Linked DNA regions of Mus musculus: all the other regions are reported to be linked to region 5. Evidence: microRNA targets listed by miRTarBase, many of them from high-throughput screens and not tested one by one. Region 5 holds a microRNA gene; each other region holds the end of a gene's coding sequence.

Region 1 (4,121 bases), not on the chromosome of region 5:
TCCTTATAGATGCATCTGCCAACTCTTACAGCTTCCTGGGTGTGGACCAGCTGCAGCATGCTACACTGGCAGATTTGGTGGAATATCACAAGGTGAATCCAATCATATGTTTAATTCACACTAGGAATTATTGTCCTATAGATATATAACAAAGAATATAGATATATAACAAAGAAACAAACAAAGAAAATAAATATATAACAAAGAAAGGCCTGACTAGGGATATAGCTCAAGTACCCTTGAGCAAAGGGATGGTGGTAGCACATAATTTCTGCTGGTAACAAGGGGTTTTAATTGTATTTCCTTTCTCATATCCACCTGGCATACTCAGAGATATCCCACGGGAGCTGAGAATACTAGAGATGTATATTCTGAGCATATCTGAGGGTGTTCCTATGCTAGAACTTGGGCTTCAGTAGGACAGGGAAACTGAAAGGAGGGAAATCTCTTTTAGTATTGTCATAAGCCAATCTAGGTATGCATAAACCCAGGGTAGAGGAGTGATCTCCCCTAAGGAGCAGCATGAACGTCTACCACATAGCTGCCTCATGGCCCTGTGCTTTGATTGACAGGAGGAGCCCATAACCTCTCTGGGGAAGGAACTCCTTCTGTACCCCTGTGGTCAACAAGACAAGCTGCCCGACTACCTGGAGCTCTTCCAGTGACAACTCTCATCCAGATCAGCCTCCAACTTCCAGCTGGTTTCCCCTCTGGACAGACACCTCTGAGATGGACATTTGTGTGTGATGCCAAAATCTCTCTGTGACAGAGCCAACAGTGAACAACGTCTGAGGTCTTCATTGAAACCTCTCTTCTGCATAAATGCTGGATTCAGTTTAAGGGGGTGTTACCTCTCTCTCATCCTCATTCTGAAAGGAAAAGGGGGAAGGTACCCACATTTGCAACATCCTAATATGAAGGATAGGACCTTGAAGGATATGACCATGATGATGTATATAAGATAAAAAGGACAAGGGTACACTGAAATCTTTTTAGCAATTAAGATGTTATTTTAAAAGAACAAGTGAACAATTTCATGATCTACACACTCCCTTTTTGTTATTCACTCAAAGGTCTCAGTATTCTGTGTGTATAAATTTTTATCTTGCTTTTAGAATGGTGGAAAAATGTCCCCACTGAGGGATGAGATTATCTTCAAAAGACCACCCTTTCTGTGTCTGTTGGAGTGAGGTTATAGAAGACAGAAGAGAAAGACCCAAGTGTAAATTGAAAGACAAGTTTCAAAACTTGAGATGAGAGACTTACCACATATGAAAAAAACCAACCAACCAACCAAAGGTTTTATTGTGACAGTAACCCTGAGTGTGATGGTTTGAATATGCTTGGCCCACAGGGAGTGGTAGTATTAGGAGGTGTGGCCTTGTTGGAGGAGGTGTGGCTTTGTTGGAAGAAGTGTGTCACTGTGGGGGTGGGCTTTGAGACCCTCCTCCTAGCTGCCTGAGAGATTCAGTCTTCTGGTTCCCTTCGGAAGAAGATGCAGAACTCTCAGCTCCTCCTCTGCCATTCCTGTCTGGAAAATGCCGCGCTCCTGCCTTGATTATAAAGGACTGAAACTCTGAAGCTGTAAGCCAGCCCCAATTAAATGTTTTTCTTTAAAGAGTTGCCTTGGTCATGGTGTCTCTTCACAGCATTGGAAACCCTAACTAAGACGCGTGAGTAATCTTAGGGTTTGTTTCTTCATTCTTCTCTACTCCCCCCCCCCCCCATCTGAAAGTAAATATAAAAGATACTGTGCGTGGCCATGTAAGGACTTGTGTGGTCCTGATTCCAAGAGAAGAACTGAATAAGTGAGTGGTTTGGATACCACCTATTGAGGGATGAATTGTGTCCCACACCAAATATACATGAAGTCCTGACCCTTCTGTATCTGAGTATGAACTGATAGAGAAATAGGATCTGTGCAGAAAAGATAAGTAAGATAGGCTCCAAATCTAATGAGTTGCATCTGTATAAGGGAGAAAGATAAAGAAAAAAGACAAACATGAGGATGGAGGTTAAAGGACCACAGAAACAGAGAGTAGAGTGGTGTAGGGCAGGGTATGGCGGGGATTATGAAAGGCAGTACGGCCCAGGCCCAGACTCTCCCTAGGACTCTATTAGGAAGCATGGCTTTGTTCATTTGCATCTTTATTTAAGCCTTCAGGGATTTAGAAATGTGAGATAATAAACCTCGAAATCACCGAATAGATGGCAACTTTTTACAGCAGCCTCAGAAAACTAGTGCAATAGTTTATGTAACCATGTGTCCTGCACGAGTTGCATGGATTTGTTTCTTGCTGCACAGTGTGCACCCTCAAGAGGAAATAAAAGTAGGATATAGGAATAAGACCCCGAGTAATGCTGGCTAGCCCTGGGACACAGATTTATTCAGCAAGTAATCTCCTACCTGCATCATCCTTAAATCAAAACCTCTAAATCCATTCCTAGACCAGCCTCAGTGAGGGGAGGCCAACCTCTGCTGAGCAGGGAGGGCATCTGTGAGTCACTTTTGCCTGGGAGGAAGTTACTTTGCCCATAGCTAAGCATTTCTTTTTACTTTGTCTTTTAACTAATGTAGATGGCACTGCAGTCTGTCCTTTGTGTGACTCACTCATTCCAAACACAGTGTACCAAAGTAGAGGCTAATGTGCACTCAGTCAATTGCTTCTTGAAATATTCCATTGTATTGTTAAATTTCTATGAGTCTCTGCCATTTCACTTTGTTGTAACATGGCTCAGAATCTCTGAGCTGTTCCCATCTCTCTCCACTTTTCCCTAATTATTTTGAATAGGCACTTTACCTAACTATGTTAGTTACTTTCCTCACTGCAGTGACAAAAGTACCTGACAAAAGCAACTTAAGGAAGGAAGGGTTGACTTTGGCTCATGGTGTGAACTCGTGGTCCATCACATGGGAAGGGACCGTGGGAGGTGGTGCGGCAGCTAGTCACATAGAACCCATATTTAGGAAGTAGAGAGAGATGACAGCTCTCTCCTTTTTATTCAGTCTGCGATCCCAGCCCATGGAATAGCATTGCCCACATTCAGGGTAGGGTTTCCCTCTTTGGCTAATTCCTTCTGGAAACACTTTCACAAGCATATCCAGAGGTGTTTTCCCACAGCGAACCTAAATCCAATCAAATTGACAAGATGAAGCATCACACTATCCGTCTTAGTTTGGGTTTCTTCACTTCTGTGAAGAGACATCATGACGATGGCAACTCTTATAAAGGACAACACTTTACTGGGGCTGGCTTACAGTTTCAGAGGTGCAGTCTATTATCATCATGGCAGGAATCACTGGCAGAAGGGCACTTTCCTCCACAGTAAGTCAGAGAGGAAGCTCTCATTCCTTATTTGGCAGAGCCTGAGCATAGAAGCCTCAAAGCCCACCCGCATAGTGACACACTTCCTCCAACAAGACCACACCTATTCCAATAAGACCATGGGCCAAGCACAGTCAACCACCACACTATTCAATCCTCAGTTTTACTGCACAGGAATGGTCTTTTAACTGAAGGACCTTTATTGTTCCTCTAGCTCTGAAAGCATACAGATCTGCGTTCTGTTACTCAGTGGAATAAGTCAAAAGTATCCTTTAATCACTGATAATTTTGAAGACATTTGAGATACCAGCATCATCCTCTGCCTAAAATTGTATTGTAGGCAATAATTATGGCTGTGTCCAAATGTATCTGTGTTTAGCGACTGAAAGAAGATTAAGAAACATCTCAATCCAGTTAACCTGATATATTACCAAGAGGAGTACCCTTGACTTCTGTAGTGTTTTATCTTACAGGTTCTAAACATGCAGAGGAATAAACTGTCTAGTGCTCAGTGATACAATGGCCAGGAGGAATATTTGAAATTCTGAGGGACACTTGTGTGTTGGGCTGAAGCCAAGTGCTAGTCCCTGCCCACATTGATTCTTGTTTGTTTGCTTCTTTCTTTCTTTCTTTCTTTCTTTCTTTCTTTCTTTCTTTCTTTCTTTCTCTCTTTCTTTCTTTCTTCCTTTCTTCCTTCCTTCCTTTCTTTCTTTCTTTCTTTCTTTCTTTCTTTCCTTCTTTCTTTCTCTTTCTTTTCCTTTTTCTTTCCTTCTTTCTTTCTTTCTTTTTTTTTTT
Region 2 (4,121 bases), not on the chromosome of region 5:
ACCTTCCACTCACGCTCTTACAGGCAACTGTAGCTCAGCTCAGTGGTACAGAAACAGAAAAAAGCATGAAGATGCTGGGTTTTGGGGCTGCTGTGAAGAAGGGGTTTGGTGGGGGTAGAAGGGGATAAGAGGGGTGTGTGTGTGTGTGTGTGTGTGTGTGTGTGAGAGAGAGAGAGAGAGAGAGAGAGAGAGAGAGAGAGAGAGAGAATGATTAAAACACATTACACAGTGAATGAAATTGTTAAAGATTAAAAAAAAGGAAACTCAGTGTAGGTCACTGGGAGCAGGCAGCCTTGAAAACATTCAGGCACATGATCAAAACAGGGGTTGCAGTCTCCACTTAGGAGTTTCTAGCTACTAAAAAGCTCCACAATATGTTAATGGGTTTAATTTAGGATTCAGTAAAAACATGTGGCATTTGTAGGGGATTAAAAAATTTTAAAAGAGTATAAAGAATCTGTAAAGAAAACTAAAGAAAACTTACATGTGGGTGACTTTGGCATGCAGCTTGGTTATGCACTATGCTACAAATGTATTTGACTACATCATTGCTTTCCCAGCTAATTGCCCTTTATTTTCTCATGGTAGGGAGGAGCTTTAACTTAAATGCCTGATTCTTGACACCAATCAGAAGCTTGGAGGAGATGGAGAAGGCTTGTTCTCTCTGCTGTTTAACTAATCCAGAAGAAGAGTTTGTATTGAAGAATAAATAAGGAAACATGGGACGCACTTCTCATTCCAACACTGCAGCTTAATTTTTTGGAATGGAGCAAAAAAAAAATAAGTGATGTATTTTATTTCTACATTAAGAGATGTGTCAAAAGAAAATTAAAGTGGTGTGAACTCTGATTTTGTAACATATTCTAAAAGCAAACAAATAAAACAGAACCAAACCAAAAGCTTAAAGCCAGACCTTGGAGTTGGGGCTGCAGTGCCTCTGACTCTGACTTTTTGAGAGCATCTCTAAGAACTATGGCCCAGGCTTTCTAGTAAGAACATAAAGTGAGACTAATGAGTAAAGCTTAGAATGCGACTGTTTTGTGACATACTTGTTAAAGTCGAATGAGATAGAGGAAGCTTTGAAGTAATTTTAATATAGTTTAAACTCAAACACTCATCTAAATAAAAATTAGGCTTTTGGAACAGATTGCTGAGTCAGGCAATCTTTAGGTGCAGTATATTTTGTTTATGTTTGATGCTTGCTTCTATCTGTTCTTGAGCTTCTTGAGCCCATAGATCAAGACTACAATGCTCTTAAATTAGTTATGTCAATATTTGCCACAGTTTGGTCCTCAATTAGGCACCCTTAAGAGGAAGCAAATTGAGGAATTATTTTCATCAGCTTGGCTTGTGGACATACCAGTGGGCCTTTTTCTTGATTATTAATTGATGTAGAAAGGCCCAGCTCACTATGGGTGGTACTATCCTTAGGCAGGGGTTTGGGGAGTTAAGTTGCAAAAGAAAGGTAAAGCCAGCTACAAGAAGCCAGCCAATAAGCACTTTCCTTTGTGGTTTCTTCTTCAAACTCCTGTCTTGGCTTCTCTCTATGGTAGACTATAACCTATAAGCCAAATAAACTCTTTCTTTCTGTCCTAGTTAGGGTTTCCATTGTTGTGACCAAGGCAACTCTTTTAAGGACAACATTTAATCGAGGCTGGCTTGTAGATTGAGGTTCAGTCCATTATCATCAAAGCTGGAAGCATGGCAGCATCCAGGCAGTCAAGGCACTGGAGGAGCTGAGAGTTCTTCATCTTCATCTAAAGGAAGCCAGGAGCAGACTAGCTTTCAGGCAGCTAGGATGAGGGTCTTAAAACACATGCCCACAGTGACACACCTACTCTAACAAGGCCACACCTACTCCAACAAGGCCATACTTTCAAATAGTGCCACTCCCTGGGCCAAACATATTTACACCACCATACCTTCTCAAAGGTGCTTTTGCTTAGTGATAACAGAGAAAGCAAATGATTATAATACCCTATTCTTTAAGCTTTCAGGAATAGTACCCATGCGTGAAGTTTTCATGGTTTCTATTTTTCTTATGCAAAAGTAATTATGGGGCTGTAAGGGTCTGAGTGTTAGGTAAATACCAGGACAGACCCTCTGGTTTTTAGATGGGCTGACAGGCAAAGTTATTACTTAGATATGTTCCCTGACTGCTTCTGAGGTAGGACAGTGTAGTGGACAATTCTAGGACCTACTGTAGTTCCTGGTGTAGGAATTTTGAAAACAGCACATACCTACCTCACATAATGTCAGTGATATCATTTGTTGCTTCTTTGTCTAAAGCTTGTTGTCTAGGTGAAATCCCACCTACCATAACAGGACATTTTTAAAATTGTGAATCTATACTTTATAAATAGAAGTTAAAAATGGAAGTTTTTCTCTTTTTACCTATGGTTATTTTGAATGGATAATTTGGGTGATAGGCTGTAAAGGCGAATTAATCATGATGAATAGTTTAAAGATACATAGGCACTAGATGATTGTTAATTCAAGCTATTTCTGAGGACACCTTCATGTTTGCAACAAATCTCTTGAAGTTCATTAGTTATTTCAGACCAAGTATAAAATGGCAGCAGGATAAAATACCTGGTTCATTTATTTTTCTTAAATCAGGGACTGTAAGTTTCATAGTTATGAGGTCAGCAAAAACTGGAGTTGGAAGAATAGACAACTTACTTAGAAGAAAACAGTGATTTAGGAGACTAACTTACATTTATTAAATTGGGAAGTTTTAGCCAAGAAAAATGTGGGTCAGTTTCCCCCCACCCTCTCAAATGTTTCCAATGATTCCAAGTAAAGATAGGTGGGGCCAGCCTTCATTAGTAACCCAGCTGCAGTGAATCAGGATTCTCGATCATTCTATTCCCTAGTGTGTGATCAATGAAGAAAAATGATGTAAAGGTTACAGTCCTTAAACTGAGAGCATTGTGTACGCAAAGTACCCTGCCCAGAGGTGGGGAGATGGGAGGATATTATAACATAGTTGGTGATGTAAAAAAAAAATTACCTGGAAATTTCTTTGATTCATGCATTTTGTAATGTGTAGACTGTTCTAATAAGTCAACAAGAGACAAGTGAAGCCACTCCCCACTGGATACTAAGCCACTGACTAAAACACGTCTCTCAACTACATAGTTACTATTACAGCTCAGGCCAAATGATTAGTAATCCTGATTTTTTCTCTTGTATTTAATTAATTAAGGGCTTAATTGGGGGAAAAATCATGGTATAAGAGACTACATGTAAAAAAAAAGAGACTACATGTATAAATATATGTCTGGACTACTTGATGATTCCTAAGCAGTAATGTATATATCCTAATATATACTTAATATGGAGTATGGTTAATGGCATGCTATTCTTTTTTATTTAATTTATGGCAGTTTATCCAATGTGGGGTCAAACAAAGTCAATTTACTATACTACTCTCTTGAACATTTCTAGTCATAATATTAGTTGATTAGAAATACAAATTTAAGTCTTTATGTATGTATAAGGATCCTTCGATTCACATGCATACTGTGATGTATCCATTAGTAATAAACATGTCTTTCAAGAACTTGCCTTTTGCTTGTCAGTTAGAAAAACAATCCCATCTCTTAGCAACAGTTGAATCACAAGCACCATTCAAAGATACCTGTGTGTGAACGTTGTGTGGAGATGAAAATGATTCTTTGATCTTAGTGGAGTGAGGATTTAGGAGAATCAGACATGGGTGAAGATGGAGCCCAGTTGCTGTCTGAGTTGTGTTGATAGTTAATGACACTGAGATGGGTGGTGATTTGACTTCTGTTGAGTTTTATTAAACACTTTCAGTTTGCCCTCCTATCCTTAACACATCAACAGAATGAAGAGTGGTGAGTGGCTAAGGAGAGATTAGGTGGGCTGGCTAGATGCCAGTCTTTCAAGGAGAGGAGCAGTTGGTGACCTGTTTAAAGAGAACAGGAGATGCGAATATGGCCACATGGGAGAGGCAGGGGGAAATCAACAGTTAAAACAGTGTGCTATGTGTTGGCATTCAGTAGCCTCAGTGAGCAGGCTTTTCCTCCTTTGTCTTTGCATCATAGTGCCTTGCTGGTCTGAGGACATGAGAATATTTTAAATAAATGCTAGAA
Region 3 (4,120 bases), not on the chromosome of region 5:
TCTTCAAGTACATTCACGACAGGTGGACCGAGCACCACGGGCGCTACCCTTCCACAGGAATGCTGGTGCTCTTCTTTGCACTACATGTGTGTGATGAGGTAGGCAGTCGGTGTTGTCTAGAGCAGAATTAGGAGAACCATAAACAGAGGAAACAGCCCTTTCCCCATCTTAGCTGTGGTTCCCGGGAAGTAGTTTTTGTAAACAGAAACCATGTTTTTTCATATCTGTTATTCCTATAAACAATATTTTTGCATTTCCCATCGTCATTACCTTTTAAGATTTACTAACAAAACTACTTCATTTAAAAGGCACATTTTTAGCAGGGTCATGGTGGCACCTGTAATCAGATACGGAGAGTTTGAGACAGGAGCAGCGTTTGAGGCCAACCTGGGCTACATAAGACCCAGTCGTGAAAAAGCGAAACACAAATGAGAAAGAGACAGAAGTCCCCTCTGAGTCAGTGCCCTTATGTCAGGCCTGGGTGTCCCCAACCACGCCCCCGACTCCCAGTGACCCCTGTGCCACCCTCCTCACAGGTGAACGTGTATGGGTTCGGGGCCGACAGTCGAGGCAACTGGCACCACTACTGGGAGAACAACCGGTACGCGGGCGAGTTCCGGAAGACAGGCGTGCATGACGCCGACTTCGAAGCCCACATCATCGACATGCTGGCCAAGGCCAGCAAGATCGAGGTCTACCGAGGGAACTGAGCGGCCCTGAGCGCCTTCAGAACCAGTCACTTCTGGGTCCGGCAAGCGCCGGTTGCAGCCCACCAATCAGACTGCGCCGTCCCCAGCAACCAATCAGTGCTGCAGTTGGGAGGAGCTTCTTTCTTAGCCAATCACGCAACTCAAGGAGAATTTCCGGCGCCGCCGTCTCCACCAATCATGGCCTTGGGAGGCGGCGGGCCTCGACCCCCTCCCCTAAACCTGCTTTGGATAAGAATTTTGATGCTTTTTAAGAGGCGGGTCTGGGGCTGGGCAGGAGCGCCTTGAACTGCTCATTTCCAGCTTAGGCCGGGTGGGTGAGTGAAGCCATCCAAAGAAATGTGGTTCCGGTGAGACACTCTCCAGGGCTTTCCGTGGCGCACCAGGTAGTAGGGGGTTGAATTCACCCCCTGTTGGGTTGATCTCCCTAGGGCCTCACTAGTGTCAGGAACGGGTAGGAAGCTTCACCGGGTCACATGCAAGGTGCTTCTCTCACATGTGCCCTCACTCCTGTCTCCTACCACCTTCTCAGCGTCTGTCCTTAGGTCCTGGGCCTCCTCTCCAGCTCACCTGTTGATTCGGAGACAAAGTGAGACCACCCTGACTCGGCTGCTTTTGCTCTCCCACACGTGACCCGTGTCTTTAGCCCTAAGGCGCGAGAGAGCAACACGGTTGGACAGTTGGCTGGAAAGGAGATCCCTGAGCATGTACCGTTTTCTTTCATTGTCACCCCAAAGAGGAGCAGGCAGCCTCTTGCTTGGGGGTAGGATTTGCTTTGGACTCATGCTTTAGTTACCCTCAAGCTGCCAGGGATGGCGATCCAACCAAGATTGCTTGACAATTGTTTGCGGGGCCTCGCGCAGATGGCTCGGAGCTTTGCTGGGGAGGAGCGGATTGGTGGCTGCCCTGCATGCCTCCTCCTGTCCGCACCTTTACCCTGCTTACTCGCCTGTTCTAACCTACTCTCCAGCTCCAGAAGGGCCGCTCAGTCAAGAATCAGGGGTTACAACTGGAAGCTACTTGCATGACTTGGTCACAGTTGAGGTTCACTGGGAGAAAGGGCTTCAGTGAATGTCTCAGGCCGCAGAAAACACGTCCCTGCTGCAGCGTCCACATAAATATTTCCCATTCTTAATGAGTTCACATTACCAAGCAGCCTGGTTGGGGGACAGTCACACATAAGGGAGAGTGTTAAGAGGTTTGGGATGAGGCAACAACCCTAAAAACTAATACATGGAGAACTTTGCTCGAGTCTGTTCCTTCCCAGTTTCAAAAGCACGGGTGGAGGAAAAAAAAAAAGGGAGGGGCGTATAGCAGAACCTCTCAGGGCTCGAACCATCGCACATAGTCACCGTTCCAGTTTTTGCCTGTCTCATCTCTGCTCTCAAGCTGCTGTGATGAGAAACGGGAAAGCAATGCAATTATGCCAAACAGTATTGAGAAGAGTAATTTATTTTTCTTCCCTTTGTTTTGTTTAAATCATGAATCCCCATTCTAGAAAAGGTAGGTCCCAGAATCTACATCTTTTTCTTCTAGAGTTATTTAAACATTCAACTTTCCCTTCCGTTTCTTTCCCTGAATTAAAAAGAACAAAGCCCATAGAGTCACTCATCTGTTCTGAACTGCACCATCCTAGGTGTCTAAGGAGGTAAGGGTGTTTGGGAGAACAACACAACTCTGATACCCTCTTACGGCTGAGGAGTCTAGTTCATGGGCTCTGTTCACTGAAGTCCCCCCTAAGGACTCTGAGTATTATGGTTTAAAAAAAAAAATCAACTTATTATGTCAGGCATGGTGGCATGTGCCCTTAATCCTAGCAGTTGAGAGGCTGAGGGGCAGGAAAAGAAGTTAAAGGCTAGCCTCAGCTACATGGTAACTTTCAAACTAACCTGGGCTACATGAGACCTTTCTTAAGGGGGAAAAAAAGGAGCAAAAAATCTCTAGTGAGTTCTCTCACGAGTTCTGACATTTTTCTGCTTAGCCCAATCGTGCTGTGTGGCCCACAGCTTGTTGCCAGTACAAAGTGCTATGCAAAGGAAGAGTTCTCTGGGAGAGCTGCGGAGGGCAGATAGTGCCTCTCTGAGTTTTGCCTGTCACTAAGGATAAATGCTTAAACTTCAGTAGGGTAACTGGAAAACAGGGGGGAATGTTGGGTCTGCACCTTAAACTACTCACTAAAATAGGTCGTATGGATCTTAGAACTAAATTAAAAAAAAAAAAAAACCAAACCCACAGGTAGTAAGTAGTACTTCTTGTCTTTTCAAGACAAGGTTTCTCTGTGTAGCCCAGGCTGGTCTGGAACTCAGAAATCCTCCTGCCTCTGCCTCCCAAGTGTCGGGACTACAGGTGTGCATCATCACAGTACAGATGGATTACCTTCCCCCACCCCAGCTGCTGTGATTCATCCCTGCAGTCTTAGCGAGGCTGAGGAGGTACACTAAACTAGTGTTGATTTTCTGAGAGAGCAGCTGTCTTGTACCTATGCTCTGTAGACCAGGCTGGTCTCAAATTCCTAGGAGATCCATCAGCTCTGCCTCGTGGGTTCCAGGGTATATGCTATTTAACAAAAAAAACTGACAGACATCAGATACATAAGTTTTGTCCTCTGGTCGTTTAACTCTTCTGTGATTATGGTTTCTGAGACTGGGGCAGGGCTGTTCTGTTAAAATAGATAGGAGACCAATGTGGAAGGCAGCATGTAGAGTTTTATGTTCATAAAACCTATCAGGATTGCACGAGGGTAGCTGGGTAGAAACAGCAATGGTCTGGGATGAGCTGTTTTTACTCCATTCTTAGACCAGAGATGGCCTGCCATGTGGCTTTAATTTTGCTTTTTTGAGACAGGGTTTCGCTTTGCAGACTAGGCTGGCCTCAAAACCAGAGGCCTTTCTGCCTTTGCTCTGAAAGTGCTGGAGTGTGCCATCCCACCCCCTCCCTTTTTCTTTTTCTTAGAGATTTATTTATATGTAGGTACACTGTAACTGTCATCAGACACACCAGAAGAGGGTATGTCATTACAGATGGTGGTGAGCCACCATGTGGTTGCTGGGAATTGAACTCAGGACCTTCAGAAGAGCAGTCACTGCTCTTAACCATTTAAAAGGGAGGGGGGCTGGGGCCATCTCAGTAGCCCCCACCCCCCTCCCTTTTAAAACTTTACATGTGTTGGTGTTTTGCCTGCATGTGTCAGATCCCCTGAAACTGAAGTTACAGTTCTGGGCTGCCATGTGAGTGCTGGGACTTGACCCCAGACCCTCTGGAAGAGCAACTACTGGTGTCAGGCACTGAGCTCTCTCCAGCCCTTTCTGCCTTGTTTTTAAGAGATGTTCACTTTCAGTGTCACCATTTAGGTGAGTGCAGGTAGTAACTATTGCTCCATCTTGTTTTGTGCCTTCTCACTTCTCTTGCCCTTC
Region 4 (4,121 bases), not on the chromosome of region 5:
AAGGAGGAAGTAGTGAAGGACTTCCCAGTGCCTAGTGCAGCCCTCCCCACCACCTCCTGCTACCCTGTTCTCCCTGGGGAGGGGATGGGGAGTACTTGTTGTAATACCCTCATGTCACAGCCCTTCACTGCCTCACTAGAAACACCCTCCTCACCTTCTCTCTGGTTTTTATCTTCAAGCAAGTCGCAGTCCCTGACAAATGCGTTCAGCTTCTCTGAGTCCTCCTTCTTCCGGTCTTCAGCCAATGAAGATGAAGCCAAAGCGGAGACCATCCGGAGCTTGAGGAAGTCCTTTGCCAGCCTCTTTTCAGATTAGCTCTTCAGATACACGAGGGCATCCGGCCCAACCAGGAAAGGCATCTAAGACATTCACCAACAGCAGTCTGCCATGTTTGGTGGCGATGTCCCATGACTTGACATGTGTGGCCCCTTCCTCTGTTCCTTTGTGCTCAGTAATTTGTGCAGCCCAGAAATGACCATGTGATAGTCTCAGGGCAGGTACCTACCCTGAGAAAGGCCTGACAGGAGAGGAAAGGGCTCTTTCCCTGTAGTCTTTAAGAGCTTTATTCTGAAGTCATCATTGCTGTGAATTTAGTGGCCTTATTGTGACAGAGCCATCGTGTCTTACTCTTCCCTGTGAAGCCAGGATCTCTGTAACGTAGGACTCCTGGCAGCTTAGCCCAGCTCGGAAACAGAGCTCAGCATGTCCTAGTAGTCAGTGCTACCTGTGGGAAGTATGTTCTTACCTTCCAAGTACTGTTGGCTCTAAGTTTTAGGAACTTCTCCCAAAGCTGGATCTCCTGTGGTCCCTGTTGAAAGCACACTCGCCTGACCCTGCACTCCCCTAGACTGCTGTGGAGGTGAAGTTCCTTGTGTCTGTTGAAACAAGAGAACAAGGCCTCCCCGCACTGTCTCCTCTCTCCCCTCTGGAGAGCAGTTCTGTTGTGTGAGCAGCAGTTACCTTTACCTTTCAGAGCTGTACTGTAGAGGAGAATGCATGCCGCTATAACAGCAGTCCACCAACCTTTGTGTTCCTCACCTTATGAATGTCAAGACCTTGGTGTAATAAAAGCAGCAGCTTTAACCAGCATTTGATTCAGCCCTGAGGTTCCCCCATCTAAGATGAGAGCATACGTGGGCATGCAGGTGTGTTTGTGACTAGGTAGTTAAAAGTCCAGGAGGGTAAAGTTGCCGATGCCGTGTGTGTGCATGTGATGGCAGGTGCGCACGTCTGTGTTAAGAATGTGTCTGTACCTTGAATATCACATCCTGATGCTCCCAACAAGCTCCCCAGTGGATCTGTCTCTTCTAGAACTGTTTGACTGCCAACAGCTTGGCATTTCTACCCATTTGATTCAATTCACAGACTCCAATATTCACAACACCCCTGCCTGTATATCAACCAAGTTAGACCCATCTTCCCATCTTTCATCAAGATTCTCAGCTAAAGCCCACAAGGTACAGCCAACAAAAGAAGCAACCCGTTCTGATGAATTTGGTCCTACAGCTGTCGTACGTAGTTCAGGCATCCTAAAGGCCTGCGGCTGGGTGGGCTCTGAGGGATTTTACTCCGACAACTTCTTCATGGTTCTCTGAGGATAAGTTCCACATTTGCATATGTTTGAGGAAAAACAGTCAGTGTGTAAACATCTTAGCTATGTAATTCCCTGCGTGTGATAGATACCATGTGATATAAACTCAACAAGTCAACACCCCTTGAAATGTCACTGTCTGACACCAATTTCTGTCTCTGCTCATGGTCATGAGCAGGGATTCCAGGAGGGCAGAGAATGAATTTCTCTGGTACCAGGTCTCTTTTCTGAGTCACATTTATCCTGTGTTTTTAGGGTCTGAGGACTGAGACAGGTAAGGGGAGAAGTAGGATCCCCACAATCTCCCATTGAATGGCACCTGATGAGTGCTATCACTCCATCCTTCCTTGCACAGTACACACACCTACAGAGAGCTAAACGAAGGGCAATAGGGAGAATCAATCAATCTGCCTCCCCTCTCTTTCTGCTGAGGTTGGAACCCAGGGTCTCAGAGTCTCACTCATGCGAGGCAAACACTATACCTCTGCCTGCCCAGGCCTGCATATGCATTCTGTTTTTATACCTACTTGTGTGTCTTTATAAGGAAAGTGAAGATTCGAAGAATGACAACTTGAAGATGTGACACTACAAAGGGGTCTGGTGTAAAGCTAGTGAACTGTGGGAAAGGAATTAGGATGCACATGGGAAAATGGTGAAGGAGACGGTCACACATCTTAAGATTTTGTTTGTATAAACGCATTTCCATGTTAATCTCTAGTCTCTGGTTGTAAAAATGTTCTTATTGTATAGGTTGGTGAGGGAACATCTTCTTCATGAGAGTTTTAGGTCCTGTTTCAGGCACAAAGGGAGAGCAGAGAACTCCCCCTGTACCTCTCAGTGCCCACTGCCTTTGGCTCAAAATAATCAGCGTGCCCAGCGTGGCATATTTTGAGGTAGCCTGTTCTGAAGCTCTTTACTGACAAGAGTCTTCCACTTATCCATGCTTCTCTCCCTCTGGTTCCAAATACACCGCAACACAACGTGCTTCTTTAGTGACATGGATTGAGCGTTTACCCTATGTGTAGACGTCGTGATGGAGTCAAAGACATGTTTACTAACATATCCAGAGCTTACTAAGCATAATTCTAAGCACTTAAAGCAACTTATTGATCTCCTATGGGATAAGTACTATTATAATTTTACACATGAAGAAATTGAAGAAAACCCCAATTACTTGTTTAAGGTTATCCAGTTGGTCAAGTTGTACAAGTAAGATTTAAACCCAAATAATTGGGGGTCAGAATATGGTTCCTCAGGTAAAGTACCTGCTGCACAAGTATGAAGAACAAAGTTTGGATCCTCAGACTCACCGAGAAAACAGCCAGGTGGGTATGGGAGCCTGTCTGTAAACCTAGTGTGTGGGAGGCACAGACAGGGAGTCTCCGGAGCAAACTACTAGCTGAGACAGTGAGTTCTACATTCAGCCAGAGACCCAGTCTCAAACTAGAAGGTGGTGAGCAATCAAGGACATCTAGAGTCAACCTCAGACTTCCACGTGTGTTCACACACATGTGAATGCACACTACAGTGAGCAAGCCAAGCCACAGTACAGTAGAACACATGCCCCTCATCACTTTGCTGTATTTTATTTAATCTTGCATGGTCTATAAGAAATCATTTTCTCAAATTTTCATAGTGTGATCATATAATACAGTATACACAAACTTGGCTGGATGAGAGCTTGGGGGACAAATTACCAGTGTTGACCCCTTGGCTTAAAACTATGAGTAACATGCACTGTGGGTCTTATTCTGATCAAATATAATTCTGACTCCTAAAATGTTACTCATTCTTCCACATGTGATGTCAAACCCAAACCACAAGTAGCTTATTTAGAAAATGAGTCACCCGGGAGGGACTGTTGGGGTGACAGAAAGGGAAGGCGTTTACCATAGTCATGCAGTACCCTAGTCCAAGGAACACAGGGATTCTACCTAGACTCTAGTAATCTGGACCAGGGGTGGGGCCATTGAGAAGTAAACCTCTTGGTACTTAATTAAGATGGTTCCAGAGACTTGGAAAGTAGTACCTCACAATAGTCAAACACCCAGTGAGTAGTGTGAAAAAACTTGGGCCAAAAGCTTTTGGTCTGTAGGCCAACTCTGCCTGTCTTGCAGATCAGATCTACTCTAGCTTATGGGGCTTCCTCTGACAGTTCTCAGCCCAGATAAGTAAACAGAAAGATTCATCTGTCTTCACGGGGCTTCCCATCTCCTGGATCAAAGTGAATAAATTCTGTCCATTATGTACTTGTTGATAATTCTTTATTGTGTATTTACTAAGCTCAACAAATTTCATGGGAAGATCATAAAACTGAGCTAACGAAGGTTTCTGCACTCACAAAGTCCACAGCCAATAGGAGAGATGTGTACTGTCTTAAGGAATGCAGTCACCGTGTCAGCTTGGAAAACTCAGCTTGATAGTTATCAATGAGAATGTAGGAAAACTCTACACATACACATCGCTAGTGGGAGCCTGTATGGGCACTACCACTGTGGGGGATCATTTCCAACATCCAGTGCCTAGCTGA
Region 5 (4,121 bases):
ATCTGTATGTATATCACTGTTCTAAAATAACCTATCAAAACTTGAAGCAGATTTGTAGTGCCAGTTTGTTTTTTGTTTTTGTTTTTGTTTTTTTGTTTTTTGTTTTTTGAGTGGGGGGGGTGAGACAGGTTTTCTCTGTGTAGTCCTGGCTACCCTGGAACTCACTCTGTAGAACAGGCTGGCCTTGAACTCAGAAATCCGCCTGCCTCTACTTCCCAAATGCTAGGATTAAAGACGTGTGCCACCACTGCCCAGCTATAGTGCTGTTTTTTTTTATGGAGATATTTCATCTGTGTGTGAGTTGCGTGCGTATACATGTACATGTGTGTGTGTGCAACATGCATGTATGTGGGGGCATCAGCCTCAGGACAGCTGTCTAGCTTGATTTTTGGGGTGAGGTCTCTCAAGTGGCCTGGGGTTTGCTGATTTGGTGAGGCTGGCTGACTAGTGAGCCAAGGTGATTTCCCCCCCTGGCTCCACCTCCCCAGTATCTGGGTCAGAATCCAGTGTGGCTGCCCTGCCTGTGTACATGTGATCCTGGGGTTGAGTCCTGATTCTTGAGCACTTTGCAGACTCGGCTGTTTACCTCAGCCAGGGCTGCTTTTCCCCCAGAGTTATTTTGTATTTCTTAAATGTATATGTGCATCTGTATGGGTGTATACATGTGTCTCTTAAGTGCAAGTGCCCGCAGCTGCCAGCAGAGTTGGAGCCTCCTGAAGCCAGAGCCAAAGTGGTTACAAACTCTCCACTGTAGTGCTGAGACTCAGACTCAAGTCCCCTGCAGAGTAGTGGGTGCCTTCTCAACAGCTGAGCCACCCTCCCGTCCTGGCTCGCCTTGGGTTTTGGTTTTGTTTTGAGACAATTTTATCTTGTGTAGACCAGGTTGCTCTAGACACTAGGCTTCACTACATCCAGATAAGTTTGTATGTTTAGAAAGTCTTTTCTAGTAAGTAAAGATGACTTTTGAATCAATATCTTATTTCCTCTCCATTTGGTATCTTCAATCTCTGTGGAACTGTGGATCTAACATGGATCCTGTCTGTGGAAATCCTGTGGGAAGGTCTTTCTGTTTTAGATCTGCTTAGACAGGGAAGCAGAGTTCTTTATTTTTTAAACATATATTTTAATTTTTAAATTTTTTTCTATGCTGCTTATGCTGGTCTCCAACTTTAGATCCTCCTGTTCCTGCCTCGACAGTGTGGCTGTTGAGTCAGGTGTGCCTCCCTGCCTACTTTGCTGTTGATGCGGGGCCTGGGTCTCTCAGGCAGTGTGAGTGGTGCAGGGCCAGTTTTTACTGCTGTGCTGGCTGTTGCAAGATGATCTCACCCATGCTAATGCAGGAAGCTTATAGCCAGGATTCCTGCCCTACTGACTTTTTATAGTGAACAGTGTCCACGGTCTCCTGAACTGCTGACGTGGGTCACATTAGTAAGGTTTGGACTGGAGGGGTGGGTGTCTGGCAGCATCCCACCCATTCCTAGGTCCCTGCCGCCAGGTCTCAGTCAGCATCCCCGTCTCTAGGACTTGAGCAGGACTTCTGTGATGGCTTGGCCCATTTCTGTTATTTACACAGAAGACATGGATGGTGCAGATTGGAGTCTTAGGGTCTGGTGGGACTGCTGTGGCCTTAGGCTGCTTGTGCATTGAGCATGAGTTGAGGATCACATGTGTGCCCTATCCGTTCTAAAAGTCACACCTTAGACATAATTGAAAATTCAAAATGTCCTTTGATCTATATTCCGTAGCTCCTCATCTGTGTGCATAGTCTTCTTGATTACCGTCTGCCAGAATTGACACCTTGAGTCCTCATAGGAGCTGGACCACATGCCCACGGTCACCTCCATAGTACCTGCAGCGTGCTTGACTTTCTCTATGGTGCAGTTACTGTGGCTGTGGCTGTGTTCGTGCCTCAGACTGAAAAGGACTGAGATGGACTCTCCAGGGAGAGAAAGCAGCAGTCCTTTAGATTGTTCATGCACCATTTTAGGCCGTGGTAGTATCCCTCTTGCACATCTGAGTTGTGGCTGGCATTGCAAATGTGTCTCTTTCCTGATTTTCAGGGGCCCTGAAGACACTTGTTTTGAGTTTGGTGTTTTTCCCGCCATCCTGAGTTTCCCACTTGACTACCCCTTGAGCCCTCCGAAGATGAGATTCACCTGTGAGATGTTCCATCCCAACAGTAAGTGTGTCTAAATGAGGTTGACAGGCAACAGAGTGCCAGCCACACTGTTAATTAAGAACGGCAGGGAGGGCCTGCAGGCACAGGGCTCTCAACTCTAAGCTGTGACCAGTGAGTTACGGTGTGAGCACCAGGACTGCCGCTTTGAGGTCAGCTTAATGTAGAGGGGAAATGCACACACTTAACACTGTGTTAATGGGCTTACTAGAATTTTGAGGCCGTGAGTGCTTTGTGTCCTACATTGGCCTTTGTCACAGTGTCATTTTAATGGCGGACATTTGGAGTTGGGCTAGAGAGGTGGCTTAGTGGTTTAGAGCACTTGCTGCTCTTGCAGAGGACCCAGCACCCACATTGTTGCTCACACCTGAGGCTCCTGGGAATCTGGTCCCTCTGCTCGCCTCTCTGGAGCCAGGCTGTCGTACACAGACATGTACACAGCAAAACAGCCCAGTGGTCCTACCGCAGAGCAGAGGGCACACTGTAGTTAGCCTGCATGTAGGCACCGAGGACATGTTAGGAATTCCTAGACAAACAGTTCCTGTCACTCAGGCTTGGAATGGAGCACTTGTGCTGTGTTGAGTGGGAAGTAGGTGAGGACTCACTGGTACTCTGGAGTTCCATCTCTGCCTGGAAGGGACCATAATACTGTCCGCGACTATGCCCTGATTGGGAGTAGGGGTTTCTTTCTTCCTTTTACTAGTAGCTATTATACATAAGAGAGGTTTGATGGAGAGTTTAAATTACTCAGGATGGCCTTGAACTCCTGATCTTCCTGTCTGTCTCCCAAGTGCTGACTTCCATGCACGTTTGCCCAAGCCAAACTTACCTAAGAGAAATGGACAGTGGTGGTGTATTTTCAATGATGGCATTTAGGATAATGTTTCTTTTTATAAATGTTTTTCTTTTTCTTTATTTTTTTATTATTTATTTATTTATTTTTGGTTTTTCGAGACAGGGTTTTTCTATGTAGCCTTGGCTATTCTGGAACTCACTCTGTAGACCAGGCTGGCCTCGAACTCAGAAATTTGCCTGCCTCTGCCTCCCAAGTGCTGGGATTAAAGGTGTGCACCACCACCGCCCATTATAAATGTTTTTCATTGCCACTGATAATCCTGATCTTTTTGCCTATGGAGCTGAAATTCAAGTAGGATATTCTATTTTGTAAAAATAAAACATTTACTTATTTGACACCAGGGTTTTTTTTATATGTATATATCAATTTTATTTTATGTGTATGGGTTTTTTGCCTGCAAGTGTGTCTTTATATAACAGACAGAGGCCAGAAGACTGAGTCAGATCCCCTGAGTTGGAGTTAAGGATGATTCTGAGCCATCGTGTGGGTGCTGGGAATTGAACTCTGGCCGAGCTGCCTCTCCAGCCCAAATGGATGTCTTTGTATTTTGTAAAAATAATTTTGAGCTGGGTGGCTCTGGTGCACATGCCCCCCCTTTCTCCGCACCTAAGGAGTTCAGTTGTCTTGCTTCTGCTCTAGCTACACGGACATGGACTTCGGTGGTGGGGGTGGCTCTGCCACCTGAGTTAGGGATGTCTAAACACCTGCTCTGCAGGGCCCCGTGAGGGATCTTACTCGCTGGGAACTTGAGTTTGGAATATTTGTCCATACATCTTTCACTTCCTCCTTTTAGTGATAATGCCTAGAGAAATATGTAATAAGGTAGAATTCAGTTGCAACTGGTCTGTGTTAGACAGACCTCGTCCCAAGCCCCCTTGTCCGTGACCACAGGACCTGATCAGTCCACGACAGGTTGGCCTGTGGCTGGCAGGCATCTGGGATCTGTGCCAACAGGAAACTCCTGTCTCAGCTGTGCGGACAGTTGGGCCTCTGTCTGGAGCTTCCCCACACAGTGACACTGTCAATGATCTTTGCAGTCTATCCTGATGGCAGAGTCTGCATCTCCATCCTGCATGCTCCAGGTGATGA

Evidence for each region. The annotated mature microRNA mmu-miR-1930-5p reads ACCUCCAUAGUACCUGCAGCGU and lies in region 5 at 1,837-1,858, shown strand. An mRNA with a match to its seed (bases 2 to 7 or 8) in the 3' UTR can be bound and repressed. Matches are read on the target gene's strand: a 7mer-m8 pairs with bases 2 to 8, a 7mer-A1 pairs with bases 2 to 7 and ends in A, and an 8mer does both.
Region 1: the mRNA of Sh2d4a is a reported target of mmu-miR-1930-5p. Seed matches in the 3' UTR shown: 7mer-A1 at 1,386-1,392.
Region 2: miRTarBase lists Impg2 as a target of mmu-miR-1930-5p. Seed matches in the 3' UTR shown: 7mer-A1 at 637-643 and 7mer-A1 at 1,729-1,735.
Region 3: the mRNA of St3gal2 is a reported target of mmu-miR-1930-5p. Seed matches in the 3' UTR shown: 7mer-A1 at 1,990-1,996.
Region 4: the mRNA of Syn2 is a reported target of mmu-miR-1930-5p. The part of its 3' UTR that is shown has no 7-base or 8-base seed match.

The regions. Positions count from the first base shown.
Region 1 is chr8:68,346,082-68,350,202 of GRCm38, forward strand. It overlaps Sh2d4a (SH2 domain containing 4A), which reads left to right. Exons shown (of 9, transcript NM_028182.1): 8 at 1-92; 9 at 573-1,623. The coding sequence ends at 665. Among named protein-coding and RNA genes, the nearest start is that of 1700125H03Rik, 20 kb to the right of the region's middle.
Region 2 is chr16:56,270,192-56,274,312 of GRCm38, forward strand. It overlaps Impg2 (interphotoreceptor matrix proteoglycan 2), which reads left to right. Exons shown (of 20, transcript NM_174876.3): 20 at 589-3,562. The coding sequence ends at 601. Among named protein-coding and RNA genes, the nearest start is that of Impg2, 68 kb to the left of the region's middle.
Region 3 is chr8:110,969,566-110,973,685 of GRCm38, forward strand. It overlaps St3gal2 (ST3 beta-galactoside alpha-2,3-sialyltransferase 2), which reads left to right. Exons shown (of 7, transcript NM_009179.3): 6 at 1-98; 7 at 537-2,932. The coding sequence ends at 710. Among named protein-coding and RNA genes, the nearest start is that of Gm51551, 18 kb to the right of the region's middle.
Region 4 is chr6:115,280,909-115,285,029 of GRCm38, forward strand. Syn2 (synapsin II) reads left to right here. Exons shown (of 13, transcript NM_001111015.1): 13 at 180-1,718. The coding sequence ends at 315. Among named protein-coding and RNA genes, the nearest start is that of Timp4, 31 kb to the left of the region's middle.
Region 5 is chr10:77,639,400-77,643,520 of GRCm38, forward strand. Mir1930 (microRNA 1930) reads left to right here and starts at 1,825; the gene lies at 1,825-1,908. It overlaps Ube2g2 (ubiquitin-conjugating enzyme E2G 2), which reads left to right. Exons shown (of 6, transcript NM_019803.3): 4 at 2,061-2,179; 5 at 4,070-4,121.